Xenopus tropicalis: one gene and its partners. The protein of the gene in region 6 interacts with the protein of the main gene of each other region in a pairwise test. Links are inferred from orthologs where the notes say so. Each region holds a gene or a part of one and is shown on either strand. Other genes may lie near its edges. The genes, in order: kcna4, taco1, ccdc148, hoxb9, casp7, sat1 and tcf25.

Region 1 (3,873 bases), on a different chromosome or scaffold from region 6:
TACAACACTCATGTCAGAGTTAACAGCACTTTCCCATTCGCAGTTAACAACTTTCACCGAAATATAACCAGCAGGAATCTCCAGATGTCCTGCTTTAATGATTGTCTAGAAACTTCAACATTACAGAAATGGTTCACAGTACGATGCCTCGTTGAATTTCCCCATTTATCCAGCATATGCTGTTGTGCAAAAAAAAAAAAAAACATTCCCTATCAATGCACGACAAGCAGCAACGGGGAAAAAAAAAGTTTCAGTCCTGTCTTTGAGCCTCACCTAATAAATGCTCTGCGAGCAGCGATACTGTGCATAGTTGGCAGCCCTTACTGATTGCAATTTGGGATAAACATTTAGATAAACTCTTATCCAATGGAGGTACGGGGCAGCTGGTTCATTTTTAAAACTGCACAGTAAAGTCAGCATAATTAAGTGTAGCTTAAGTGGAACGAGAATAACATTTTTAGGATTGTTTTTCTCGCTCGATATCTCCTATATTTGTGCTAATCTCATACTGAGGAATTTAGAAAAAGAAAATAAACTGAGAACTTATTTCTTAAAAAAGACTAGTTATCGGAGCACTCTAATGAGTTTAGATATATCAGTGCAGAAACATTGCTTTCTATAAAAATCTATCATTTTAAAATTCTTTAGTCTACCCTTTCTATGCTTGATATGTTAGACATGATGTATATCCGATTACAGAGTATTCCACACATAAGAATTTAGCTCCTTAGCTATTAGGAAAAGCACAAATCGCGTTGCGGTATCAAGATAGGAATCTACAGCAAACCGCTGTTTTCTAAAATTCTTTTGATGTGGAATTCTTTGAAGAATAGACATTTTTGTAAAAAATAAGCAAACGAGTAAACAATGTCATTTTACTGGGTGCCAGGTATTTCTGAAGACACAGCAGTCGTGTACGGCAAAATGCATGCTGTTCTCTTTTCATGGTTTCTGCTTTATATTAAATAAGCATCATGTACCCCTCTCTACTGCAGACTGTCACACTGCAATATTATTATCTATGGATGGACAACTCTCTTTAGAAAAAAAAAAAAAACGAAGCCAGAGAACAGGCACTGCTATTCTTGTAGCATCTGATCTGGTCCCAAGTTTGTAGGTTCTTACAACAGGAAGCCACTATATTTCACACCTAATCAGAAAACTGGCTGTCACATTTCTGATTAGATTTGCATATTTCATTTGTTTTATCACTGCACTCTTCAATGCATAAATAGACTCTGAGAAAGTTCCAAAAATATATTTCACTATTTCACACATCAGTTTCCAGAATTTTTAAATTCACACAGTTATACTTAATGGTCTCGTTGCCATTCCCTGTCCCCTCACTAGCCTTGTCTTTTATACAGAGAGACTCTTTGAGCCCTTCCTCCATTTCTAAGTATTCAGACTTGTCCTGTAGAGAGGAAGAAGTGGAGCTCCTCAACTTTTTCAGCAGGTTGGTGGGTAAGTATGGGCAACTGGAGCTGCTTTGTGTCAACTGTGTTTGTTCTTCATTGTCAGTTTCCCTGTGGTAGAAATAGTTAAAGTTTGAAACTATCACTGGCACTGGTAGTGCAATAGTCAATACCCCTGCTATGGCACACAGGGAGCCTACTATCTTACCCCCCACAGTAATGGGTTTCATATCCCCATAACCCACTGTGGTCATTGTAACAACAGCCCACCAGAAGGCATCAGGGATACTGTGAAAGTGGGTTGTGGGTTCATCGGCCTCTGCAAAGTAAACAGCACTTGAGAACAGAATGACCCCAATGAAAAGAAAGAAGATGAGTAATCCCAGTTCCCTCATGCTGGCTCTCAAGGTGTGACCAAGTATCTGCAGCCCCTTGGAATGCCTGGACAGTTTGAAGATGCGGAAGACCCTAACCAGGCGAATGATCCTCAGAATGGCAAAGGACATGGCCTGTTGTTGCTGCCCAGTCCCCTGGGGAAGTTGTTGCCCTGTGCCTAGAGCAAGGTGCTGCTGTTGAGGGGGATGCTGCTGCCCAAGCTCGGTACCCAGGGTGATAAAGTAAGGCAGAATGGACACAATGTCTATTATGTTCATTATGTCTTTAAAAAATCCAGGCTTGCTTGGGCAGGCAAAAAGGCGCACAGCAAACTCGAAGGAGAACCAGACTATGCACACAGTCTCCACTATAAAAAATGGGTCATTAAACGCAGTGTGGTCTGTCAATAAAAAAGTTGCATTGTATGCCCCGCCCTCTCCATCCTCCCCTGTACCATCATCCCCCATCCCCAGCGGAGACAGCAAACTATCCTTATCGTCCCTGAACTCGGGTAACGTCTCCAAACAAAAGATAACAATGGAGATAAGAATGACCAGCACGGAAACGATGGCGATGCCCCGGGCTGGACCCGAGCTCTCCGGGTACTCAAACAGCAGCCACACTTGTTTCTTGAACTCATTTTCCGGCAGCTGCTTTTCTTCCTCTTTAACGAAACCTTCATCCTCGCGGTATTTTAGCAACGCCTCCTCGCCCAATTCGTAAAACTTGACCTCCTCTGAAAAGATGTCGAAGGGCACGTTGACCGGCCGCTTCAGCCGTCCCCCGGATTGGTAGTAGTACAGGATGGCGTCGAAACTGGGACGGTTTCGGTCGAAAAAGTACTCGTTCCTCAGCGGGTCGAAGTAGCGCATCCTTTTCTCCGGGTCGCCGAGCAGCGTCTCGGGGAACTGGGTCAAAGTTTTTAACTGGGTCTCGAAGCGCAGCCCGGACACATTGATCACCACCCTCTCGCAGCACTCAAACTCACTGTACACAGGGTGATAGCCATCCTCCTTGGGGCTTCTCCTCCTGTGCAGGCTGCCAGCCTCATCCTCATCATCCTCACATAAGTAAAACTTTTGGTCCTCCTCCTCTGACACCTCTTCTTTGAGCATCATCTCCTCAGAGCCACATGGCCCCAGCTCCGAGGGGAAGGTGCCTTCCTCTTCTCCTCCTGCTCTTCCTCCTCCAGCGCCTCCGCTGCATTCGCTGTGCCGGCTCCTCCACCTGTTGCAGCCGCTTAGTGGCCAGTACCTCCGCCTGGCACTTCTCTTTCTCTGCGCTGACTTCTCCTCCTGCTGCTCTTGGCTCTGGGGTGCGCGCCGCGCGTTCCCGCCAGCCCCGCTGTTCCCCTGAGTGGCGGGGGCGCGCCCAGCCCCTTGACAAGCGCCGCCCCCTGAGTTCCCTCCTTCTCCAGCTGCGGCGGCGGCGGCTGCGGCTCGGGAGTGCGCCAGGCGTTCCCGTTCGCGGGCCCGCGCTTGGGCATAGCCGTAAGGCAAGTGGCTGCTACAGCCGGAGCTATCCGCACTCACCATGGCAACCTCCATCTCTGCTGTTGCTGCTCACGGCTTACTGTGCGGCGGGGAGACTGCTGAGTGCTCTGTACCACCCTGCCATGGTGGCTCCCCCAAGGCAATAAACTTATTCAAAATAAATTCAGTGATTTTTAGTTCATTATTACTCATGCAAGGTCATAAAAAAATAAGAATGCAAACACCCTCATGGTCTCAGGGGTAATTCCCCCCCCCTCTGCGAGTAAGGAGTCAGCGCAGGGAGCTCTGTGCGGGCGGAACCAACTGGCCAGAGAAGGGGGGTGCGGGCAGAGAGTAAATGTGCCAGTTTGTAGGGGGGGCCGCTGCCCATAAACCATAGAAATAAAGGTTAAAAATGTGTGGTTGAGCTGCTTTAAAGCAATATTGTGCTGTAGGAAATAGGAGCCAGTGAGTAGATAGGCAGGTTATGTCAGAGTTCAGCCAGATAGCTCTCCAGGTAATTGTTCTAGAAGCAACAACAAGTTTGCAGGGGGGGTTGCTGCCCAAAAACCATAGAAATAAAGGTTAAAAATATGTGTTTGAGCTGCCTT
Region 2 (4,576 bases), on a different chromosome or scaffold from region 6:
TGAGTTAGAAAGACAGTGAGTAAATGACAATGCATGTGAGACAGGGACAGAGACAGCAGGAGACTGTGACAGAAGAGAGCATATAAGTGATGAGAGAGACAGGGAGTGACAGTGTGTGCTAAATAAGTTACAGTGAGTGGCAATAAGAGACAGTGACAGAAGAGTGTATGCAAGTTACAGAGAAACACAGAAAGCCAGTGAGTGACAGCAAGAGACAGAAAAGTGACAAGAGAGAGACACAGGGAGTGAGTGAGAGAGAGGCAGTGAATGACAGCAGGACACAGAATATGACGGACAGTGTATGTAAGTGACAAGAGAGAGACACAGTGAGTGAGAGATAGAAACTGAGTGACAGAGTGACAGTGACAGAGAGACAGAGAGACAGTGACAGAGTGACAGTGACAGAGAGACAGTGATAGAGTGACAGTGACAGAGAGACAGTGACAGAGAGACAGTGACAGAGTGACAGTGACAGAGAGACAGAGTGCCAGAGAGACAGTGATAGAGTGACAGTGACAGAGTGACAGTGACAGAGAGACAGTGACAGAGAGACAGTGACAGAGAGACAGTGACAGAGAGACAGAGTGCCAGAGAGACAGAGTGCCAGAGAGACAGTGATAGAGAGACAGTGATAGAGAGACAGTGATAGAGAGACAGTGATAGAGAGACAGTGATAGAGAGACAGTGATAGAGTGCCAGAGAGACAGTGATAGAGAGACAGAGAGACAGTGATAGAGAGACAGAGAGACAGTGATAGAGAGACAGAGAGACAGTGATAGAGTGCCAGAGAGACAGTGATAGAGTGCCAGAGAGACAGTGATAGAGTGACAGTGACAGAGTGACAGTGACAGAGAGACAGAGTGCCAGAGAGACAGAGTGCCAGAGAGACAGAGTGCCAGAGAGACAGTGATAGAGAGACAGTGATAGAGAGACAGTGATAGAGAGACAGTGATAGAGAGACAGTGATAGAGTGCCAGAGAGACAGTGATAGAGAGACAGAGATAGAGAGACAGAGAGACAGTGATAGAGTGCCAGAGAGACAGTGATAATGAGACAGAGAGACAGTGATAGAGTGCCAGAGAGTGCAAGTGACCCCCCAGAGGAATGTCAGTGGCCGAGCAGACAAGCGGGGGAGAGTGCCCGTACAAGAGCTTGCGTTACGGCCATAGCCAGTGACTAGGCCCCAGTACTTACCCATGGCGGAGCAGGGGGCACTATTCCGGGCAGCCCTGTCAGTTTCCCGGGCCCTGAGGCCTCCCCCGATTCTTAGGTAAAGTTGTATGTAGCGCCTCCTCTGCTACTGAACCCACCGCCTCCTCTGGGTTATTCTCTCCCCGGGTCTGCCCCGCGGCCCGTCAGCGACTCCGGTCACCTCATATCCGGCTTGGCCAGGGCTCCGGGGGCTCAGGCCTTACTCTGGGCCAGTTCCTAGCCCGCTGCAGGACCTACACACGTCACCGGTGACATCACTGCACCATGTGACCGCCTAGCTAGCGGAGAGGAAGAGTAGGTCATTGTGCAGGAAGTGAGAGAGTCTGTAGAGCAGCAGGTATTAGCGGCCCAGAGAGACTCAATGTAATGGTTGCGAGTACCTGTCTGTGGTGCTGGGCTTACCAGTGGGAGACATGAGAGTCATGGGCTAGAGTTGTGTGGCCTCTGGGCTGCCTAGGCTCTAGCCATTACTAGTTGACAACTCTTGCAGCAGGGGACAACAGCAGGGGGCTGATTGTAGGGGTATTGGGGCATAGTTATTCTTCTGAAGGGAGCTTGTATTCTTGGTACTGAGTTACTGAGTGGGGGTAAGCCTGCTGCAGGGGTCTGTTTATAGGGGAAGAGTAATCTTGCTGCAGGGGGCTGATTGTAGGGCTATTGGGGCATAGTTATTCTTCTGAAGGGAGCTTGTATTCTTGGTACTGAGTTACTGAGTGGGGGTAAGCCTGCTGCAGGGGTCTGTTTATAGGGGAAGAATAATCTTGCTGCAGGGGGCTGATTGTAGGGCTATTGGGGCATAGTTATTCTTCTGAAGGGAGCTTGTATTCTTGGTACTGAGTGGGGGTAAGCCTGCTGCAGGGGTCTGTTTATAGGGGAAGAGTAATCTTGCTGCAGGGGGCTGATTGTAGGGGTATTGGGGCATAGTTATTCTTCTGCAGGGAGCTTGTATTCTTGGTACTGGGTTACTGAGTGGGGGTAAGCCTGCTGCAGGGGTCTGTTTATAGGGGAAGAGTAATCTTGCTGCAGGGGGCTGATTGTAGAGGTATTGGGGCATAGTTATTCTTCTGCAGGGAGCTTGTATTCTTGGCACTGAGTTACTGAGTGGGGGTAAGCCTGCTGCAGGGGTCTGTTTATAGGGGGAGAGTAATCTTGCTGCAGAAGGCTGATTGTAGGGGTATTGGGGCATAGTTATTCTTCTGAAGGGAGCTTGTATTCTTGGTACTGAGTTACTGAGTGGGGGTAAGCCTGCTGCAGGGGTCTGTTTATAGGGGAAGAGTAATCTTGCTGCAGGGGGCTGATTGTAGGGGTATTGGGGCATAGTTATTCTTCTGCAGGGAGCTTGTATTCTTGGCACTGAGTTACTGAGTGGGGGTAAACCTGCTGCAGGGGTCTGTTTAAAAAGGAAGAGTAATACTTCTGCAGGGGACTTTTATAAGGTGTTGGGGTGTTTCATATACAAGCTATACAATAACACGTACAATCAAATATATAATGTTATAGATGAAGCACCGTCAGTACTCCAGTACAAGCTTATTTATGTATATATGTATTCTCTCTGTCCCACAGAATTGTCTCCTGCTAGGATTATGTCTTTGGTCTTAAGTAGGATCTGCTCTGCCCATAGAAAACATGCTTTCAGGTCATTGCTCTTTTGCCAAGAACCTTTGGGTCGATGGTTCCTTCCTGTTGTTGCCTCTCAGGAGACCTACTTCCACACCTCCTTAATGATGTCTGCTGGTCACAACAAGTGGTCTAAAGTAAAACATATTAAGGGTCCCAAGGATGAAGCAAGGGCCCGGGTGTTTGCCAAACTCTCCATGATGATCAAAGTAGCAGTGAGAGGTGAGATAAGTAACATGTGCAATAGGGCATCCCAGTCCAGTAACCTCTATCAACAAATAACATGTTGCTAGAGTGGTCTGGTACAGGTAGAAGGCTGGAAACATATCTGGTTGGTGGAATGGGCAGTTTTTTTTCCTTGTGTTTACTGCATGCATCCAATGGCTTTATGGTTACTGCTGGGCCTAGAAATAGATAACTGTCTTGGTCTTCAATAACAGAAGGAGGACCTAACCCAGACCTGAACATGGCCCTATCCCAACTGATTGAGCAGTGTCGGGAGCGGAACATGCCAAAGACTTCCATAGAGGCAGCTATCAAAGGAGCGGTAGGTCAGCTATAGGAACATTATGCTTTGTGGGTTATTCTGGAAATTTCCATTCTCATCAAAAGGCCAGCAAGTAGAACAAGCTGATAAACCCAGTTTGGAGCATAGAGATGATACCGCTAAATAGCAAAACCGTAAAACCATTTATAAATTTATACAAAAAAAAAAAATATATATATATATATCTATCTTGAGAGAGGTCCTAAATAAGGACCAAAACGTTGTCGATAACATTTATTTTTGTTTTCACTGTAGGATAAAGCAAAACCCTCTGCCTGTGTATTGTACGAGGGACGGGGACCTGGGGGAGCTTCTCTGCTCATAGAGCTTTTAACTGACAACAACAACCGCTCCTATGCAGAGGTCAAGCTCCTGATGGGCAAAAATGGGTATGTGTCATTACTTGTGCTGCTCAGTGTGTTTTGCTTTACATCATGCACACTGGGGTCTTGTGTTTCATTCCAGCCAAGTCACTATGTGCAAAGAGTTTGTATGTTAACCCCTTGTTTGCATGGGTTTCTTCAACAAAATCATACAGAAAGGTTAATTAGCTTCCTAGAGAATTTAACATACCATGCCTGAATGTGATAGGGTCCTTAGAGTGTAAGGTCCACTGGAGCAGACACTGATATAAATCATGTATAATCTGTGCATAATTTCTGAATGTACCTTTTGTTTTCTAATCCACAGTGGGGTGATGTGTGATGGAGCCCGGCATAGTTTTGAAAAGAAAGGGGTGGTGACTGTACGGACTCATGACAAAGATGGAGGTGATGTCCCATTAGAGAAGGCCCTCGAGCTAGCAATTGAGGCTGGAGCAGAAGATGTGCAGGAAGAACAGGATGAGGAGGATAAGGATATATATAAGGTATGACTACTGGAAGTATGTTAGCTTGGGGTGGCACTCTCATACAGTTAAGTCATGTATATCTTGTGTAAAGTAGGACTCTTCAGCATGGCTACTTATGTAACAACCTAGTAATGTATGTAGTGCCAACTGGAATGGCAAGGAGAATATCTCTCCAGTAAACCATGGTAACCAATCAGCAATATTCTTTAATCAGTGATAATCCAGTGGGTCAATGGTATATTTTTCCTATATTTCTACATACAGCCATCTTATATATTGTGTCCTGTGTTTCCTCATCCATTTTCAGTACATATGTGACATACCATCCCTGAGAGAGGTGCGCTCCA
Region 3 (3,873 bases), on a different chromosome or scaffold from region 6:
ATGTTAATAAATCTGCGCATACATTGGAGCGATCACTGAACTGTGCCTCTGGAGGCAATTAAACAGCAGCAAATCCTTGCTGAAAGGGACTATAGTGGCAACATTTCTATTTTCAGATGATAAAGAAAGGCAAGGAAATAATGCCTGATTAAAAGCAAGGTTTATGAGAGAAGGTTTATGAGAAAAACAATTGTAAATTTGGATTGTTTCTGAGTTAACAAACCCAAACGTGAAGCTGAGAATGGTTGGCTCCATATTAAGGGGAGTGGCAAGGAGGTGTAACCAAGGGTGGTTCACCTTTAATTTAACACTTAGTATGTTATAGAACGTCTTATTCCTAGCAACTTTGCAATTGGTCTTCATTTTTTCTATATTTTATGGATAATTTGCCTTCCTCTTCTGCCTCTTTCCAGCTTTCAAATAGGGGTCACTGACCCCGGCAGCCAAAGGAACAATCACTCTGTGAGGCTACTATTATTTATTACTATTTTTAATTGTTTATCTTCCTATTCAATCCCTCACCTATTCATATTCCAGTGGCGTGTTCAAACAAATTCCTGGTTGCTGATGTAAATAAGACCCTAGTAACCGAATAGTTTCTGAAATACCAAACTGGAGAGCTGCTGAACAAATAGCTTAATCTGAAAAACCACAAAAAATAAAAAATGAAGATGATTTGCAAATTGCAAGTCGTAAGGCAGGGGTGGCCAATACATCGATTGCGGTCCACCAGTCAATCCAGCGTGGATTTCTGGTGGACCACGATGAAGCCGGGGATGTGGAAGTGCTGTGTGAATGCGTACATACGCTGCGTCACGTACATATGCATTCACACCACACTTCCACATTACCTGGTCATCCATTGATCGCCAATGAGAAAGGTCTGGCCACCACTGTCGTAAGGTTACTCTATTTGCTTACCTGTTACCCCAGGCTGATGTTCCATTCCTCAAAAAGGTACCTGCTCTTAGCTTAGACATGCATTATAAAGAATGAAAGTGACTGTACTGATAAATAAAGGCCATTACTTGAGCTATTGCTTTGCTGTCTATGGATAATGTTCCTTTTAAAGCATTTACTAACATTTTCAAATAAAAAATAAAAAAAATGGGACATTTAAGCCCCTGATCCAACTGGCCATGCCCAGACACATACCCTAATCTGTGTAAAACCAGACCATGTTATTAGGCCGCACAGCAAAGTCATTCTGTTCTCTCTTTGAAAATAAGATATTTTTAGGAAACGGCTGGGTTTTTATTTATTGTTAAGAAAAAACATATAGGATGTGTCTTTCCTGAATCAAGCATTTGTACCTTCTGTATTACTGTAACACTGTAGTACTGAGAAATAGAGGCAATTAATGAGGTTGGCTATTTAGAATAGATGGAAGAAGATTATATACTGAGGGTGTGAAGAGAACGATGGCAAAATTGAAATGACAAATGTTAGGGGGAGTCCCTTATTCTTCAAGCGATCCAATTATGGCTCATACAAACAGATGGAGCTAACTTTATATAACTCTTGGCTCAGGTAGCTCACTACATCCCACTATGTCAGTCTATATTATAAACAGACCACAAACAGCCCCTTTCTATTAAAATGAATGCTATACCATGTTGTGTCACGTTGAGCCATGTGTACAGCATTTGCTCCATCTGTAGGTTTTTGTCTGTAGCATATCATCATTGTTCAAAACATGTCTTCAAAATGCAGGTATGGGGCCTGCTATTCAGAATGCTCAGGACCTGGAGTTTTTCAGGTTTTTACATAATTTGGATCTCCATGCTTTAAGTCTACTTAAAAATCAATTAAACATTAATTAAACCCAGTAAGACTGTTCCGCCTCCAATAAGGATTAAGTATATATTAGATGGGATCAAACTCAAGATACTGTTTTCTTATTAACACAGAGAAAAATAATTTAAAAAAAATTGCACTATGGAAGATGGCCTACCCCTAATTTAGAGCTTTGTGGATAACGGGTTTCGGATAATCGATCCCAAACCTATAGTATGACTTCACTAAAGCCTCTTTCAACTGGTGTGAATGGAAATCGGATAGAAATAAATTCATATGCGTTTCACGAATGGGACATTTAAATGACACGTGATTATGGGACGGGTAGAATACTGGGGAGGGGGAATGCGTGGGGAGATCACCCACCTTTTCATTGAGTTCAGTACATATCTCCTGTTGCTTTTTCCTATCATTTGCCAGAATGATTTCAGTTTCATATGCAGAGCAGGCTTCAGCCATAGTCATGATGGCTTTCAGTACAAAATCTTTCCTGTATCGAGCCCAGCTTTCCAGCAAAGCCGCCCTTTGATCTTTAGCGAAACGATGAGCATAATAGAGATTTTCATGGTTGACCTAGGGAAAGTGCAAGGAAGCATAACTACGTCGAAAGTATCCATAGAGCAAGGGACATGCATGCACTATCATCAATGACTATCAACAACAGCAGAGCTGAAACACAAATTATCGTGCATTTAAGCCTGGATTTTACTGTATATTACTTAGGATATAAAATATACTCACCAATTCCTGTCTTGCTTTGTGAGGTAAATGCTTTGACAGCATATCTATATATATAGCTCTTCTGTTGGGAAGGTCCTGTGGATGCTGGTTAATAATGAAGTACAAAATCCAATGCTCCTCATCACTCCAACTACAGTTGCTGAAATGTTATAGATTGTGGATAAAAACATGTTGGCAATTACATTCGTTAAATGCCAAATAAGTCAATATACACAATACAAAAAGTTGAATTAAACTAGAACATTAAGGCCCCAATAACAAAGGTCAGAGGTGCAGTTACCCATAGGAATCAACAGTTAGCTTTAATAACATTGACATGGACATTATTGAATGGTTGAACAATGCAAGGTGACTGGACACAAGGTGATGGACATATACAGAAAGACATTTAAGGCTAATGCCACACAGGGCTGATCCTCAGTGAATATTTGTAGAATCAGCACCTACGATGGCCCAGCCTTTTTCCTGTGTCTGCACCTGGAGCCATTGCGGCGGCCAAGGCATATGGGGTGGATTTTGGTGAAGAAACTGTAGGGACCCATAGGCATAAATGGCCCCTATGGCTTTAAATCCCTACATGTTCAGTTCCCTTAGTTGCTGGGCGGAAGGGAATGTATCTAAGTTCATTAACATATGTGTGCTATTGGCTAGCAGGGATGGTGACCACTTCCTGCCTCACTTTGGTATAGTGCTGGGAAAGGAGTGGCACCTTCCTGTTTGCTTCCCCCTGTGGAACAGGGTGGATGTGTGCTCTGAGCCCGGGGCATGGGCCCAGGCCCAGTGAAGTCGGCACAGAGCTCCTACATAAGACTTGCAGTTTTGGAGGTATCTCTCCCAGGCTACATTGCCTGTAGTGTAGGGATCCCAGTGAATAGGGAATCAGGATAGAGAATTCCCTGAGGGATCCACTACGGGGTGTGTGGCAGAGGTGAAGTGAGATTCCTGCCAGGTCTGTCCGCAGAGGAGTGTTAGTCTGTATTACACTCTGTATGTGTTGCCTGTACCACTGGCCTCTGAGAGCTGTATTGTGAGTAACCCTGTGGATGTTCAATAAACACTTATTATTTTATTTGCAAGAACCTCTGGCGCCCTCTGTTTTCATTTTTCTGCATAGCAGGAGAGGTGTAGTTGCTCAACACCCTCACTTTCCTTTTACAGTTAGCGAAGGCCCATTCTGGGTAAGAGAGTACAGTGTAACCCATGTTCTACTGGTACTAGTCCGGGAAGGCAGCTATTGAGTTGAAATAGAGGTTAGAAAATGCTCAAGTAAACACTGAAATCTACTCTGTGTCTGTACCCAGGCAGATGCAATGGCTCAGGGTGCAGGCACAAGAA
Region 4 (4,392 bases), on a different chromosome or scaffold from region 6:
TAAATATTTATATTATTTTATAAGCAGTGTATATCTTTCTCTGTGTGTGTAAGTAACAAGGACACACACACACACTAATTAGTAACAGAAATATATTGTGGCTGGTATTTCCATACGAAATGAAGAATTTGCAAAGCATAAAAGCCCCTGGATGTGCTTATGGCATGGCTCAGCTCCGCTAATAGGAATAAGCTTTATGTCCTGTGCATACAGCAGTCCCATTGCAGCTTAACAAAGGCAGAGTTTTTCAAGTAGGACAATAATTATTAGCCTTAATATCGCCTCCGTTCCTGAACCCCGATGGAAATGGTAGAGTAGGAATTACAAGCCACACACACGATTCCAGCCCCTGATCGCATACAAATTAATGTAATAAAATATACATGATATTCCTGGCTGACTGTCTGGCCCTGCCTGGCGGATTGTAAGGGTTCAGTCCCCCCTGTGTTAACTCTGGTGTCTCTTTTTCTGCTCAGTCTCTAAATCATTTGCATGGGAATGAAATATGAAAGTGAATTAAAAAGTTAATATTTAATAAAGCGAACACGACTACTGATCAGCATTGCTGCCTGTGTGTATGAGTGTGTGAGGGGTGGATTCCAGAAAATATCATTTATTTATCCCTATTAGTATTAATAATAATAATAAAATAATAATAATAAAAAAAAATTCTCACTACTGAAGTGATATTCCGCTCCATATTACTATTATCTGGAAATAAAACAGGCACTTTTTAAAGCTGGATTCTGATCAATCACCCTGAAATAATAGGCAGTATATCACATTGGGGGGTACACTGGCCTTTCCCTTTGACCCTCAGCACAACAATCTTTGCTAAAATCGCCTGCGATCTCCCCAATTCCTTTGGTTGGACCGTTGCGTAAACGTTTACGCGCAATTCTTCACAGCGTTTTGTCAGCCTGCACGGATATTAAATCCACAAGCTGCAAATCCCACTCTCTCCATCCAAGGCTTTTATTGTGGAGTTTGTTCTGGATCCGTGCCCAGTTTAGTGGAATATGGTTTTTAAAGTGCAGTTTAACTCCCATGCATAATACCCTCATTTATCAAGGTAAAATGCTTTTAAACCGATCATTACATCTGCAATTGCTTAATATTAAGTGGGAAATATAAAAAGGTACTAGGTGCCATAAACACATCCACCTCGTAAGAGTGGTGATTTTGCAAATGGGATCGGTTGCCTTTATGAATCATTTTCACCTGTGCCGACCAGATAAATGGCTGTACAATCGTCCAAACAGATCGCACGGCGGAATTGCACTAATACAAGAGGTGATCATTTTGCATTTACAAACTATTTTATGCTGCCTGCCAGATACTTTGCTGTAGGGCATATATATTATGAATTATGTACCTTTAATACGGTATATTAAATATTGGAAGCTCTTTTTTTCCCGTCTTCTTCCAGTGGTTAAATATATAAATCGCCGGCGATATTAATATAATATTTTCGTAAGGCTGTGAAATATAATGGCTGGGGCAGGCTTGTTGTAAATCCCCGATCTTATGGGTAATTTGGTAAGAAAATTTAGATTCTGGGAACGTTTCTGCTACAAATATTAACTGTGCCTGGATATTCCCCCCTCCTGTATATTTTACAGATTGTGGTTCCTTGTGCTGCTAAGTTATCCGTGTTATTATCGTCGGGGATTTGTAATATTTAGCCAAGGATTTTCCTAGCTGAATATTTCGTGTAGATATAAATATAAGTATTTCACCTCTGCCAATAACATGGGGCCTTATGGTTTAAAATATAAATCCTGTGGCTGATTTGTCGGTAATGTATAAACACTGGGGCTGATTTGAGTCTAGTAATATTGCAATAAAGTCGCACTGCTCTGGCTGAAATGTATATATATAATTGGGGGGAGTTTTATTCGATATAAGGAAAGTGTTAGTTTACCGTGTGGCCTGTTTAATTGGGGGGATATGGTGTAAATACAGGGGTTGCCTTGGGGGGTATATCTTGGGGCTAATTCCAAATATTATGGCTGATTTGGATCCAAGTTATTGTGGCTGAGGGTGGAAATATTGTGGCTGAACTTTGTTTGAGATATAAATATTGAGGAGGGATTTGATTACAAATATAAATGTTCCTGGCTACTGTGATGGATACTGTGGCTTGTTTAACTACCTGTGCGGCTGGGTGACTACAAGGTGGAAAGATTTCAGGCTATTGCCGGTGCCTGGGGGGCTCTCCCCTGTGTTTGCCCTGCTGGCCAGGAGCACATACACTTCCTGACGGTATATTGCCCTTTTATTGCCCCCTTAGGCTTTTGTCTCCCACTTCCTCGGTGCAGAACTTACTTTGATGTGTCCTGTCTTTGTCCCCGCTTCCTTCACACAGTTTATTGTCCGGGAAAGTGGCCCTTTCATTGGCATCTTCTCTTGCAGCAGGCGAGCCCAGATTGTACTGTTGGGCTCCCAGTTTGTCCAGCTCCCCCGGGGGCCCCAGCAGCGGCTCAGACTTCACAGTTCCTTGGCCAGGTCCATTCTCTGCTCTTTGCAGCGGCTCCAGCCAGCCCCGTAAGTACCTGCCCTCCGGAGTGGGGGCGCCCTGCTGGATGTAGGGGTGGTAGACAGAAGGCAGGGGGCTGGCTGGGTGGGGGTTCAGAGGGCTCCAGGACGCGCTGAATACAGGAGCTTTGGGCTGGAAACTACAGGAGGGAAAGTCCAAGGGCTCAGAGTGAGCTGAATGGGCTGCTGGCCGGGGGCTGGGGTACTGTCCAGAGAATTTGGCTGCTGGAGCCTCCTCACTCTCAGGGCTTATTATTGACTCCACAAAATAATTACTGAGAGTCCCAGAAATGGCCATTCTCGGGCATCCTACTCAGCAGCTTCATTGAAGGGAACAAGATATAGGAGCTCTCCCCTCTCCCAACTTGCTCGCCAACTCGGTGCACTTGGGCTGCTGGCGTGTGAGCTCCTGGCAAATGATTGGTCAAACTTTCTCCGTGTGCCTGATAAAGCGTCAGAGGGCTATTCATCAATCGGAGGGGCCGCACGGAGCTGTCAGCATTCATATCTGGGAGCCATTGTTTTATGGGCATGAGGGCTGGGACACGCCTGAGATCCGACCAACAACGCACTCCTCAGCCAACAATTTGAAACTTGGGTGACACCTATTTCTGTGCAGGCTCTGGTGCCTTTTAGTGAAGCCACAAGACAATCTGGCACAGGGGGGTCTGGGTGCAACAGCTTGGGAGGGCGCAGCAGTCTCTCATTCAGCTGTGCGCAATTGGCCGTGTGCGCAAATCAGTGCGCAATTTAGCAGAACGGTGCCTCTCGCTGCCATAGCATGGCGGCTGCGTACAGTCTGGCTTGTACAGTACGGATTATAAACAGTATATTTATAGTTAGTGGCCCCTTTCCCTACACTGACTATATGCAAAATAACAGACACCAATTAGGTGGATATTGGATGTGGATATTTTATGCCCCCTGTATCTGGAATTGTGTTTCTATTCATATGAATACACCGTATTTCCCAGGCAATGTCCCCATATAATGGCAGATATTGCAAAATGTATATGGTGCCAATCATTTCCTAGGAGGCACTGCTGATTGATACCTTACACTAATTTTATTTAACTGCCCTTCCCCTACCCAGTAACACTATTTACTCACATTGTGCCAAAGTGCTAGTGTCCCTATGACCCTGGTTTATTTCTCTGCACTAGTATGAAATGGTAACCACAAATTGTCACCAGTTACAGACCATTGTACAGTGCCCAGCCCTGCAGCATGTATATGTATGTTCTGCACTACTAGCACTATGTCTGCTTGTTTATTTTAACTTTATACAATTGCCTGTACCCTGTGCAGCACTGATTTAAAGTGGTGGCTGAGGCCTACAGACTGGCCCATAATATAATCAGATATATAAGTAGTAATTTGCCATATTTATATCCTACACTGCACTACTGACACTATGATCCCATTTGCTTTCTGTATAACTACTTATGCCCTGCCTCTCATCCAATAAATATATTTTTACAGTCACATATTATGCCAAATGCCTACAGCTTATATACTGCCAGGTGTTGCCATTCTGTACTGCGCTACTGACACTGTGACCCCACTATATCATTTCTCTCTGCCAAAGATACAAATATAAGATGGTGCCTACACACTGTCCCATATTGTGACCAAATATTTATAACTCACAGGCATTTTATATGGTGCAGCTTTATCCAAGATAAGTGACTCTGTGACCCCATGGTTACTTTCCATTTATATAACAGCTTACCAACCATAACATGGGGCAAACATTTTGTCCATAATTACAAGCTTATATTGTATTATTCGTACATTGTATTATTTCTTACATGAGCCATTGCCTGTATATAACACTTTGCACCTGCTTTGCGC
Region 5 (3,873 bases), on a different chromosome or scaffold from region 6:
GGGCACTCGCTCTAGGGCCAAGGGTTGGGGGGGCGGTTAATGTCGAGATATTTGCTAAATATTTTTCTTGTCCCATTTACGGGATCCTTATTGCTCATTACACAGACACTGTGAGCCCGGCATTGTGACTTCTGCCCGTAATTGTGACAATTGTGTTGACTTTGGCCGGCGCCGGCGGAGCGGGCTCGCTTCCATGCCACGAGGGCACAATGAAGTACCTGTGATGTCGTCGAAGTTCTTGTTGTTGATTATGATGCATCGGCCAACTTTCCCATAATTCATCTTGTACTGGAAAGCCGGGGTAACAATCCGCACATTGTCACTCGCTTGGGGGGGCTTCTCTGGGTCCTCTGTCTTCTTCTTCTTCGTGCTGTGAGGGGAGAAGAGGGAAATAACATGAACCCCTTTGTTTTTTTCCATATGTAATAAAAGGCACTAAGTTTGCCCAGGAGCAGTAACCCATAGCAACCAATAAGATCATTCGCTTTTAACAGGTGACCAGTAAATACTTCCTGCTGATTGGTGTCTTCTATTACATAACCTCCTAGGGTGGGACTGGGGGGTACAGGGGCCCCAGCTGTGGTCTCCACACCCCCCCATAGGGACCCCCACGACCCACCTAACCCCCCCCCCAGCATGTCGAGGGAGTGAGACTGGCCTGGGGAAGCTCCCAGCAGGTATCGGGTCTGGGTTTTTACCCAGCACCAAATATAATACAGAGACCTTTAGGGTTTGGTACCATCAGGGTCGGACTGGGGGGTGAAGGGCCCACCGGGGCTCCCGTCCCAGGGGCCCTGCAGGTGCCCCAGCCAAGCGCGTCCCCTAACCCCCCCTCGAAGGGGCCCCACTGACCCCCCTCGCAGGGCCCCCCACTCTCGTCCTCCCCCGAGCGCGTAAATTTGACGCGTCAAGGGAGGAGCGGTCGGGAAGGGGAACGCCGGCCTAGTCCGACCCTGGCTACCATGTCCCCTCTTGTGTCCAGGCCAGACCCATGGCAATACAATAACTCTCCCAAAGGCCCCTGGGTAATAATAGCAGAGGCTTCTGGCCTATCACTAACATTCATGTTTGTTTCCTATTGGTATGTCAAGGACCAGTAATGCCCTCAAATTATTATTATCTTCATGTTTACATGGGTCCTCCACCCAGCAGTACATTCCCCGCCATTCTGGTTCTGACTCCTGAAACAATGTAGCAGAAGCCAGCCAATTTTAGCAGTCCAGGAACAGATTGTTACTTAGAATGATATTTCCTATAAACAACAGACGCTCTATGTTAAATGAGAAGTTTTAATCCTATAGTTCCGGGGACTCTGCCCTCACCTACCTCTGCTGCCTAATCTTTTGCCCTATTGCCCTATTTCAGCTTTCATAACTGCCCCCGTGGTCACACAGCAGCTTCTTTACTATAAATAAATCATAGTGACGCTTCTGAAGCAAGAACCCCTCTTGTGCCAGTGTGGGGTAATTGTACTTGTTTAAAGAGGTGTTACTTGTCCTTTAAATATAAAGCAGGGGAGGAGTCACCACCCATATTCTTGGCTGCGTAATGTTTACAAAAGGGTTAATTTCTTTAAATTATCTTAATTGGAACCATTCAGATACGAGTTTATTGTGAGGTTGTACTGCCCCTCTCTCTGTAGATATATCTATATATATACTGTATACACATGCGCTGTTTCTTTAAATAAACATCAACCCTAGTGACCTCGGCTCAGAGAATATTTGGGTCGGTTTCTTTGTATTTTCTGCAAATTCTGAATAAGTGATGGACAGATTAAATCTCCCCTGGGGGAAAACAAATGTTTCACGTTCCTCCGCCCAAGCAAAGGGCAGTTCTATAAATAGCCACACATTGGGGTGGAAGGGGCAAAACAACTGGTTACAACTATTATTAGCTCCAGGGCTAAAAATAGAGACAAAAACACACAAAGAGGGAAATTTCCTGAGATTTGCACAAATTTGTACATTGTCCTAAACCGGACCCAGTAAATTCCTATCCTGTACCTGTATAAATGAATTATATTTATATAGAGGAAAAGAAGTCCCAGTTATTCCTATCCTGTACCTGTATAAATGAATTATATTTATATATAGGAAAAGAAGTCCCGGTTATTCCTATCCTGTACCTGTATAAATGAATTATATTTCTATAGAAGAAAAGAAGTCCCGGTTATTCTATAGAGGAAAAGAAGTCCCGGTTATTCCTATCCTGTACCTGTATAAATGAATTATATTTATATAGAGGAAAAGAAGTCCCGGTTATTCCTATCCTGTACCTGTATAAATGAATTATATTTATATAGAAGAAAGAAGTCCCGGTTATTCCTATCCTGTACCTGTATAAATGAATTATATTTCTATAGAAGAAAAGAAGTTCCGGTTATTCCTATCCTGTACCTGTATAAATGAATTATATTTATATAGAAAAAAGAAGTCCAGTTATTCCTATCCTGTACCTGTATAAATGAATTATATTTATATAAGAAAAGAAGTCCCGGTTATTCCTATCCTGTACCTGTATAAATGAATTATATTATATATAGGAAAAGAAGTCCCGGTTATTCCTATCCTGTACCTGTATAAATGAATTATATTTATATAAAGAAAAGAAGTCCCAGTTATTCCTATCCTGTACCTGTATAAATGAATATATATAAGGAAAAGAAGTCCCGGTTATTCCTATCCTGTACCTGTATAAATGAATTATATTTATATAGAAGAAAAGAAGTTCCGGTTATTCCTATCCTGTACCTGTATAAATGGATTATATTTATATAGAAGAAAAGAAGTCCCGGTTATTCCTATCCTGTACCTGTATAAATGAATTATATTGATATAGAAGAAAAGAAGTCCCGGTTATCCTATCCTGTACCTGTATAAATGAATTATATTGATATAGAGAAAAGAAGTCCCAGTTATTCCTATCCTGTACCTGTATAAATGAATTATATTGATATAGAAGAAAAGAAGTTCCGTTATTCCTATCCTGTAACCTGTATAAATGAATTATATTGATATAGAGAAAAGAAGTTCGCAGTTATTCCTATCCTGTACCTGTATAAATGAATTATATTGATATAGAAGAAAAGAAGTCCCGGTTATTCCTATCCTGTACCTGTATAAATGAATTATATTGATATAGAAGAAAAGAAGTTCCAGTTATTCCTATCCTGTACCTGTATAAATGAATTATATTGATATAGAAGAAAAGAAGTCCCAGTTATTCCTATCCTGTACCTGTATAAATGAATTATATTTCTATAGAAGAAAAGAAGTTCCGGTTATTCCTATCCTGTACCTGTATAAATGAATTATATTTATATAGAAGAAAAGAAGTCCCAGTTATTCCTATCCTGTACCTGTATAAATGAATTATATTCTATAGAAGAAAAGAAGTCCCGGTTATTCCTATCCTGTACCTGTATAAATGAATTATATTTATATAGAAGAAAAGAAGTCCCGGTTATTCCTATCCTGTACCTGTATAAATGAATTATATTTATATAGAAGAAAAGAAGTCCCGGTTATTCCTATCCTGTACCTGTATAAATGAATTATATTTATATAGAAGAAAAGAAGTCCTCGGTTATTCCTATCCTGTACCTGTATAAATGAATTATATTTATATAGAAAGAAAAGAAGTCCGGTTATTCCTATCCTGTACCTGTATAAATGAATTATATTTATATAGAAGAAAAGAAGTCCCGGTTATTCCTATCCTGTACCTGTATAAATGAATTATATTTATATAGAAGAAAAGAAGTCCCGGTTATTCCTATCCTGTACCTGTATAAATGAATTATATTTATATAGAAGAAAAGAAGTCCCGGTTATTCCTATCCTGTACCTGTATAAATGAATTATATTGATA
Region 6 (4,333 bases):
TCCATGATCCATTAGAAGGGATACAGAATCTGGACTCAAACCTTACATGAGTACAAAGAGGTTTATTCTGTACATGCTTTCTAAAAGGTTTGTTTCCAAATGGGCACAAACTTTAATGTGAAATTCTAGTTAAAAAAAAAAAAACCACAACCAACCACACACAAGGCCCTATGCATTCCAAATAATAGATTCCATCATTGTACTTTACAGAACAGCTGAATTCGCCAGGGGTTTCAGTATTAGGCACATCTCCCACAAATCAATTAAATCTAAGTTTCTTAAGCAGTGCCAACATCTTACATGTAGTTCCCAGGCACCCCCAAGCACAATTAGGAAAATGTTAGTATACTGTGCAAGTCCATGTCTATTGAGGGATCTCTGGGAACCACAGGTAAGATGGTGGCACAGCACAGCCACTTGTTAACTGCCGATATACAAGAGCCTTTGTACGCACACAATATGCTAGACCTTCAATTTAAAATTATGGAAACACTACTCACATGTATTTTTTTTTTTAAGCTTTGTTTTTATTTTCATATCAAACATTACAACATTTGTAGTGATATTATGTTACATTTATGTATTTTATACTCTACTTACAACATTTGAATTTAACGTATAAAAAAAAAAAAATGTGAACTTTTAGCTCATACCTGTTCGTCCAGGGCCTTGTGCATACATGTATTTTTAAAAATCCATCCACACACTGAGGCCTAATACATATGACCTACCTCTGAACTCATCCATCACAAAGAAGTCTTCAAGATAAAGCAATTTTCCAATCCACGGGTCATAGGTGAAGTAGTACATTGCAAACCCAACAATGGTGTATCCTATAAACAAAGAAGAGATCAAATGAGTCCTGAAATTAAAAAAAAAAAATCGTGTACAAGGAGAAAAAAAACAAAAACACAAAAACAAAAGTAATTACAACCACAAGTCAGGAATATTTCACAGTTGTTTGACTAGAACTCCCAGAATGGTGAGGAGAGTTAGAGTACAACTGTTAGCCGTCCACAGGTTGTTGTACTTGACTGCTTCACATCACAACCTTGAAAGCAAGTTATTTTTCCAGTCTGAGTGCTGCTAAAGCATTGTCATTGCATTTGAGCAAATAGCATGTTCTACTTTTAACCAGCATAGCGGAGCACTTGTATTAACATAATACATTCCTTTTACACGGCAGTTCAGAAGATTATGAAAGCCCCCCCCCCCAGATGTACAAATGGGAACCAGAGATGCAACAGATCAAGCACTATGGTTTTCCCCAATTTGTAGCACATGGAAAACAAGGAATCAATACAGGCAACCCATCATGCTGATCACCGATTCCTCAATACTAAAATACAAAAATAAATCTGTACTAGAAATCACAACAGTTCAATCGCACAAGGAGGGCAGGAGTTACCAAAAACATCAGGTTTAGTATTAGAAATGGTCATAATCAGCCAAGAACTTAACTGGAAAGACACTGTTGGAGAATTTAAGTCCGTATTGCTTGATTTAGGTTTCCAGGGAGGGGTGTGGGGGGAAAAAAAAAAAAAAAAAAAAGTGGGGTAAAATAAAATCCATTGAACAATGGAGAATCTTCCGTGAAGACTCAGTAGCAGAGCATGGATTTCTGATCTACCGTGTTTGCTGCTTTAACGTGTCAGCGATTGCCCGTTTGCCTTACCTCGTTTCATGATCATCTACTTTATTGTGTAACGGATCTTTTAGTTACCTCCCCGCCCACCCATGTACACGGAAGGGCCATCCATGTACATGGCGAAGCTAGAGACTGTAACCTGAAGATTGGGACAAATTAAAGAGAAAATAGGATTTAACAAAGTTTGCATCTGCGCACATTAGGGTCAAAACAAATGCCTCAGATTCTGGGAAATGGGGCAAGAGGGAAAGTAAAAATTACCATCAGCACTCTGGGTCTCCTTAGGCACTTCAGCAACAAGACAGTGGTAAAATGGATGTTCTCCAAATCCATCTTCAAGCAGATCTGTACAGAAGAAAAATCAAATGGTGTAGGAGTGAGTAGGAGACAAAAAAATGCACTCCCCAATGTATGTGTGCTTAGCAGCAAATGCTCATGGGAGCAGCTTGGCAGGCAGCCCAGGACACAGAGCAACACAAACTAAATATCAATTGTTTAGATAAAAGAAATTGTGCTTCCGAGACAAGTTTGGCAGAGATACACACCCTCTACGATTCCACTTACCTTTCTCAGTTAGTACTACTTGGTTCTCCATATCTTCATATTTTGCCAGTTCCTATAAGACAGGAAGATTACATCATTGAGTAAAAAGGGGACATTGTGTAACAGGAGCAGTACAGCAATACAGTTCTACAACTGCCTACAGTAGCAGATTAGCACTCAAAGGGGTACTAAAAAGCAGAACAGAATATTCCCAACATCATACTGAAATCCCATTCCCTCATCTCCTACCTCCCTTGTGGGTAACCACAACCCCCAAGCCAAGTTACAGGTTAAGTTGGGACAAACTAACCCAGCAGTGCCAGAAAGCCACACAAGTGACCGTTACATATAAAGGTCCTAGTTTGAAACTTTAAAGGAGAACTGTACAAATGTAAGTACAACAGTGAATGCTAAAGGCTTTCAGGGAATTCTTGTAGTTCCCTACACCCAGGGTCAAAAGCTCTTGACTCAAAATGAGTGAAAGGGCAGTTTGCTACAGATCTTGTCACCTACAGCAGCCAATCAGCACAATGCATTTACGATTCACCTGTTTAAAAGCAAACTGATTGGTTACTATGGGTTACACCACCTGGTCGAACTTAGTACCTTCCATTACAGGTGAGAAAAATAGCGAAACCTCAAAGTAAAATCGCAGCTACGTTACAGCAATGCACCTTTATGAGTCGCAAGATATCTTTACAGTCCCCGGCATTAGCAGATCGTATGATAAATTTGGCCATTTTCTTCTCTTGCTCTTTTTGCCTTTTCTGACAAGTCCTCTGTATGTGAAGAGTAGTAGGAGGTGTTTCTTCATTCGCTTCCCAGGAGTTTCCTCTCCTTAGTCAGTCTGGGACCCTGACCCGGCAGAGCTCACTCACTGCAGCCACCGTGATAAGAAAACTTCGACGACGAAGTGCAAGCGCGGAACCGAGAGCAGGGTATTTATTATGGGAGGGAGCTCCGCCCTCTCCGCACTTCCGCCAAACAATTACACTTGTATAAGCGGGGCTGAATGGCCACGGCCCATTACGTATGAGGTGATGATTCCCAGAAATGACTCACTAGAAGTTTAGCAGGGTTTTTAGAGTGGAGCTGCCACTTAGTGGCCATTATGTTAAACTACAACAACACAATGTTCGGTGTACTTTTTGGAAAGATTAGTACAGGTATAGGACCCGTTGTCCAGAATACTCTTGACCAGGGCCGCCATCAGAAATCACGGGGCCCCTCACAAAAAAAATTTCTGGGCCCCCCTCCCACAAATACAAAGGACTCACAGATATGAGACATTGGTAGCCAGCAGGCCCCCCCCCCCTAGTACATTGGTAGCCAGCAGGGCCCCCCAGTACATTGGTAGCCAGCAGGGCCCCCCTAGTATATTGGTAGCCAGCAGTGCCCCCCATAGTACATTGGTAGCCAGCAGGGCCCCCCTAGTACATTGGTAGCCAGCAGGGCCCCCCCTAGTACATTGGTAGCCAGCAGGCCCCCCCCTAGTACATTGGTAGCCAGCAGGGTCCCCCTAGTACATTGGTAGCCAGCAGGGCCCCCCTAGTACATTGGTAGCCAGCAGGGCCCCCCTAATACATTGGTAGCCAGCAGGGACCCCCCTAATACATTGGTAGCCAGCAGGGCCCCCCTAATACATTGGTAGCCAGCAGTGCCCCCCAGTACATTGGTAGCCAGCAAACCCCCCTAGTACATTGGTAGCCAGCAGGGCCCCCCCCTAATACATTGGTAGCCAGCAAACCCCGCTAGTACATTGGTAGCCAGCAAACCCCCCTAGTACATTGGTAGCCAGCAAACCCCCCTAGTACATTGGTAGCCAGCACAGCACAATCCTCCGGCGACGGCTCCGGCGACGGCTCCTCCGGCGAGGTCCTTCGTTCCCAACAGCACTGCACTTCTGAGTGCCGAACGACGCCAGGCCCTTTTATAAGGTTGCTCCCCGTGCGTACTGACCACCAATGACAGGGGCCCGGAATAGATTAAAGGGGGCCCCAGCTAAGAAAACTGTAGCAGCGCCGGGCCCCCTTTTAAAGTTAAAATCGTCCGGGCCCGGGACGGCTGTACCCCCTGTACCCCCCTGATGGCGGCCCTGCTCTTGACCAAGGGTATTCTGGATAACGGGTCTTTTCTTAATTT
Region 7 (4,305 bases), on a different chromosome or scaffold from region 6:
ATCCAAGGATAACTAAATTGTCACATTTATTTAAGGAATATTTCTAAAAATGACCATGAATATGGCTACCAAACTCATTGATCTCACCAACCATTTCTGCCCCTTGCAGGTCCTAACACCAGTCTCTGCTACTAAATCTCTGCTACTAAATGCTACTAAAACTTAATCTACTATGCTTGAAATGTCCCCACCCTAATGTATCTCCAAGTATTCACCAAACCATTATGCTTTTTTAATTATCTGCATTGCTCTAACTGGCAGAGCCCTCTTTTTCTCCTGCATTTGTCAGTATCTGTCTGTACATTTACTATACAGCGCAGAAAGTTGGGTAGTCTAAGAACTTTAGGTGGCCACACACGTGGCAATTTTCGATCTTTCGTGCGACATCGTTCCAATCGGCCACTGACGTTCAGGGCTGAAACGGCAGATATGGAGGCAGAAACAATAGGATTTCTACCTCCTTCTGCCGATTCAGCAGAAGGCAGATTTTGCTCAGACGTCTTCTATGGCGCCCGATCAAAATCTTTTAAACCACCCGATTGGCGAGTCGACCGATATCAGCAGCCTCCTGCGATATCGGTTGCCTCGCCGACTTGCCATACACGCGTGTATGGCCAGCTTTACTAGTCAAATTCCGCCTCATTTACATTTCCCTTTTTTGTTTGCTCTTCCATTAGGACACAAACAACAAAGTGGATGGTCTCTAATTAAAAGCAAGTATGCTATCCCTCTTATCACTGCTTTGCCAAATGTGCTCTTCTGTTATGGAAAACATAACATCATGGGCATGAGCTGATGATATGTTACCTGGTTCTCTGAAATAGTGCATTTCTTTGATTTCTTCTTTTTTTTCTTCTTCTTTGGTTTGTTGCTTGGAGCAGCCTATTCAGGTACAGAAATGGCAGGTAAATATGCTACAGAAAAAAAAAACAAATTCCTAATAAAAGCAGCCGGTTGGCTGATAAATACTCCCATATTCTAAGTAACTCCTCTACTATTATTTCCTCACCTGGTTCAAAGCAGGATCTTCAGTGGCATCTTGGTCCGTCTTACAAGTATTTGTCTCTTTCTCCTCATTAAGCCTAGGATTTGTGACATGCTTGATGTTTGAATCACTCCGAGCATCACAATCATGGTCAATTATCTACAGACATAAACCAAAAAGCAGATATGACAAGTGGTTCAAGGACTAGATTGCTAAACTTTATAATGCTCCAAATAACACAAGCTGACAGATCAGTTGGTACCAATGGCCTGAGTCTCCAACAGACCCTGAAGGTCCTCATTCTTATCAGACCCAACTGTCCCTTAGGCTAATGCCACACAGAGTGATAAATCTCTGCTACCATGGGTGACTAATCTTCCCAAAATGCCTTTCCACTGGCAACCAAGAGAATCTCCAGTGGAAAGGCCTACACATCGTGGCGCGAAGTTTCCAGCTGCAGGTAACTTCTGAAGAACTAAGCAATGTGTAGGTCTTTCCACCAGCGATTTTCTTTGTTGCCAGTGTAAAGATTTTATCGCCCTTTATAAATCTCTGCTACCGTGGGCTACTAATCTCCCCATGGGACATTAGCCTTACTTTCAGAAGTATTTTTATCCAAACACAGCTGATTGCACGGAAAGGAAAAGGCAGGATGGTAACTTTTAGTACGCAGAGTGGGTGGTGTGAAGTCCTCTTGAGAAAAGATAAAGGAATTTAGATTCGCAGAAAGCATCACTTTCACTTAAAACATGGTAAGGGGGGGTCCTAACAGCCTCTGTGGGGTGGGGATATGGTCCCTTTGAATCAGAGGCAGGGTATTTCTTGCCTAAATGTACATAGGTTGGATATTCCTCTGTTGAATGGTCCCTAGATTCTTCCTCAGTGCTGCTCTTGAATGTTGACAATTTTCATGAATATCCCAGCTCAGGCTAAGCAGCCATCAGCTAGTGTTTGCAAACAGGCCATTATACACAGGACTGAGCAGGTGCAGGATGCATTCTTCACTTCATATTAAATATAAGTATTATATAGTATTATTCTAGGGCAATTTGCAATTAGTCTTCAGTTGGTATGGCTTTTAAAATATTTATTTCTGTTCAGCAGCTCTGAGCCTTGGCATTTCAGCTGTTATCTAGTTTCTAGGACTTATTTACACTAGTAACCAGACAACAGTTTGGAAGTCAGAATGGTAGACAAATAAGAGATGGCCTAAAAACTAAAACCGAACCATCTGAACATTAATGCTAATAAGGACAGAAATACTGGGCTGAAATGCTATATACCACTCTATACCATACATAAATTTCATTTGCAGGTAAACTTTCCCTTTGTTTCCTAATGTTATGCCAAGATAATAAACACTTATCTAAGATCTATGGTTCATAGAGCACTTTACTGTAGGGAGAACATTAGCCTATCTCTCCACTGAATTATAATGTAATTGTACCAGAGAGTGTATGCAGAACTCCCCCCCCCCCAGCTGGGCTTATATAAAACTCACTTGGCCCAAACAGGCCAGGGAAACCGAGCCAGAAGCTATAAGTCAGAGCTGCGGTTGACAAGCAATACACCAGAGGGCTGCAGTTACTGCACCTGTAGGGTAGGTGTCACTGGTGGTTCTCACTACTGAGAGGATGTAGCCAGCTGATTACTAGTTGTTCCTAACCAACAGTACTGCACCTATCACTGCTTGGTCTAATTCATGTTCCCTTATGGCCGGTTCTGGCTCTGTACTAATCTCACATATAGGTCCCGGTGTCCCTGGATTTGCCTTCCCCCACTCACCAGCTGGAAGGGGTTATTTAGGCCCCGCTCCTCCAAGAGTTTCCGGTTTCCACGTGCTTTACGGCTTCGCGGTTCCGGGAGCTTTGGTGCTTCTTCTTCCTCATCGTCTTTTTCATTTTCGTCTCCTCCAAGGGCCCCGGGCTCCTCCTGTCCTCTCTGCTCTCCTCTCAGCCTCCTCAAGGCCCGACGGGACATGGCACCTAAACAAACTCACAGGGCAGAAGCCCAGGAAGGATTTGCAGCCAGGCGCATGCGCTCAGGGTCATTAGCGGCTCGTAGCGTGTAATGCCTATACATGACAGCCTGGGGGCGCTACTGTAACATCTCATTCAGTAAATCCAAATAAAAGACGGCGTTATTCAGCAGCTAGCTCATGCTGTTTGGCTCCTTTAGTAACTGCTGATCTTTGTCTCCCAGCATGCCCTGTGAGGCCAGGCTCAGGCTATCTGCATTAAGGGGCTGCGGGGAGATGAAACGTTCTGACAGAAGATTATACATGCTAGACAAGGGGTATCCCTGGGATGTATGACACATGGGGGGAGATTTATTAAGACATAAATGCTCGGAGCGTTCGAGCGTATTTTTGACGATTTTTTCACGCTTGCACGACTTTTTTCATATGCTTGCGTGAATTTGGAAAGGTTCTGTCGCTGTTTACAATCGTTCGGTATGAAAATTTAGTGACTTTCGGATCGTCAATACGATATTATCGTGACTAATACGATTTTTTCGTAAAAATTTTTGTAATATTTGCAATCTATCAGAAATTATCGTGTCCAATCCAAATTTTTCCCATTCGAACTCGTGTTTTTATGAATCGGCCCCAAAATATGCAAGTGTTTTTGTAATGGTTTCAGCCAGTACTAATTCTAAATGTGTGCACTCATTCAGATACATAGAGGTATGTAGTCTTACATGAAATTTAAGAAACATGTTCAATTGATAATATGGGGACAAGTATGTTCAAAATGTCATCTGAAATTAACAGGAGCAGGAGCTCATTCAATTGCATCAGGTGCATTATTATTATTATTCTTACAGTGCATATTATCATAACTTTCATATGGACCATTTCTATATGCTCTTTAGAATAATTCAATCCCTCCCAAACCTAATTTTATTGTTAAATGATGGATACTGGCACTTTAGTATGACAAAAACTACATTTTCCATCTAGACTGGATAGAAACCTTGTACAGTAAATAAAAACATACCCCAAAAATCTTTGACACATGGCTCACTAACATTACCTCCCCTCAACCAATCAAATACTTAACAATACTTGGTTTTCAATACACCACTTGGTACAGTGCTGAAATACTCCAAGGCAAACCACGAAGCGGAACAGGCATTTTCGTGTTCAAACCTCCCAAGGCAACCTTAAACATATGCAACTGCCAGGAGTCACCTGACAGATTATTAACAAACTATTTGGAATGATTGGCATGTACTAAAATCCTATAGCTACATCATTAAAACCAAAATTCTATAATCACCTCCCCACCACTGTGAGAAGTTAATTTAGGATTGTTTTG

What was found.
Region 1: the proteins of sat1 (region 6) and kcna4 interact in binary tests that used the Homo sapiens proteins (3 or more experiments, as listed by UniProt). The link is inferred for Xenopus tropicalis from reciprocal best matches to the Homo sapiens genes SAT1 and KCNA4.
Region 2: the proteins of sat1 (region 6) and taco1 interact in binary tests that used the Homo sapiens proteins (3 or more experiments, as listed by UniProt). The two-hybrid records come from large-scale screens. The link is inferred for Xenopus tropicalis from reciprocal best matches to the Homo sapiens genes SAT1 and TACO1.
Region 3: the proteins of sat1 (region 6) and ccdc148 interact in binary tests that used the Homo sapiens proteins (3 or more experiments, as listed by UniProt). The two-hybrid records come from large-scale screens. The link is inferred for Xenopus tropicalis from reciprocal best matches to the Homo sapiens genes SAT1 and CCDC148.
Region 4: the proteins of sat1 (region 6) and hoxb9 interact in binary tests that used the Homo sapiens proteins (3 or more experiments, as listed by UniProt). The two-hybrid records come from large-scale screens. The link is inferred for Xenopus tropicalis from reciprocal best matches to the Homo sapiens genes SAT1 and HOXB9.
Region 5: the proteins of sat1 (region 6) and casp7 interact in binary tests that used the Homo sapiens proteins (3 or more experiments, as listed by UniProt). The two-hybrid records come from large-scale screens. The link is inferred for Xenopus tropicalis from reciprocal best matches to the Homo sapiens genes SAT1 and CASP7.
Region 7: the proteins of sat1 (region 6) and tcf25 interact in binary tests that used the Homo sapiens proteins (3 or more experiments, as listed by UniProt). The two-hybrid records come from large-scale screens. The link is inferred for Xenopus tropicalis from reciprocal best matches to the Homo sapiens genes SAT1 and TCF25.

Annotation. Positions count from the first base shown.
Region 1 is NC_030680.2:19,914,096-19,917,968, reverse strand, and holds part of kcna4 (potassium voltage-gated channel subfamily A member 4), read right to left. Parts: 5' UTR 3,338-3,873; coding exon 1,271-3,337; 3' UTR 1-1,270. UniProt on the Homo sapiens protein: Voltage-gated potassium channel that mediates transmembrane potassium transport in excitable membranes. Forms tetrameric potassium-selective channels through which potassium ions pass in accordance with their electrochemical gradient.
Region 2 is NC_030686.2:17,082,127-17,086,702, forward strand, and holds the start of taco1 (translational activator of cytochrome c oxidase 1), read left to right. Parts: upstream 1-1,420; 5' UTR 1,421-1,506; exon of another isoform or gene 1,507-1,575; intron 1,576-2,778; 5' UTR 2,779-2,798; coding exon 2,799-3,054; intron 3,055-3,272; coding exon 3,273-3,379; intron 3,380-3,634; coding exon 3,635-3,768; intron 3,769-4,069; coding exon 4,070-4,247; intron 4,248-4,536; coding exon 4,537-4,576. Other genes in the region: map3k3 (mitogen-activated protein kinase kinase kinase 3), read right to left, coding at 1,195-1,198. UniProt on the Homo sapiens protein: Acts as a translational activator of mitochondrially-encoded cytochrome c oxidase 1.
Region 3 is NC_030685.2:73,759,734-73,763,606, reverse strand, and holds part of ccdc148 (coiled-coil domain-containing protein 148), read right to left. Parts: intron 2,678-3,873; coding exon 2,539-2,677; intron 2,371-2,538; coding exon 2,164-2,370; intron 1-2,163.
Region 4 is NC_030686.2:12,098,234-12,102,625, forward strand, and holds the start of hoxb9 (homeobox protein Hox-B9), read right to left. Parts: upstream 2,947-4,392; 5' UTR 2,837-2,946; coding exon 2,329-2,836; intron 1-2,328. UniProt on the Homo sapiens protein: Sequence-specific transcription factor which is part of a developmental regulatory system that provides cells with specific positional identities on the anterior-posterior axis.
Region 5 is NC_030683.2:3,709,196-3,713,068, reverse strand, and holds part of casp7 (caspase-7), read right to left. Parts: intron 371-3,873; coding exon 219-370; intron 1-218. UniProt on the Homo sapiens protein: Thiol protease involved in different programmed cell death processes, such as apoptosis, pyroptosis or granzyme-mediated programmed cell death, by proteolytically cleaving target proteins.
Region 6 is NC_030678.2:43,098,125-43,102,457, reverse strand, and holds the start of sat1 (diamine acetyltransferase 1), read right to left. Parts: upstream 3,095-4,333; 5' UTR 2,932-3,094; coding exon 2,866-2,931; intron 2,265-2,865; coding exon 2,213-2,264; intron 1,994-2,212; coding exon 1,910-1,993; intron 834-1,909; coding exon 732-833; intron 1-731. UniProt on the Homo sapiens protein: Enzyme which catalyzes the acetylation of polyamines. Substrate specificity: norspermidine = spermidine >> spermine > N(1)-acetylspermine. This highly regulated enzyme allows a fine attenuation of the intracellular concentration of polyamines.
Region 7 is NC_030680.2:59,798,023-59,802,327, forward strand, and holds the start of tcf25 (transcription factor 25), read right to left. Parts: upstream 3,026-4,305; 5' UTR 2,966-3,025; coding exon 2,771-2,965; intron 1,145-2,770; coding exon 1,010-1,144; intron 883-1,009; coding exon 808-882; intron 1-807. UniProt on the Homo sapiens protein: Component of the ribosome quality control complex (RQC), a ribosome-associated complex that mediates ubiquitination and extraction of incompletely synthesized nascent chains for proteasomal degradation.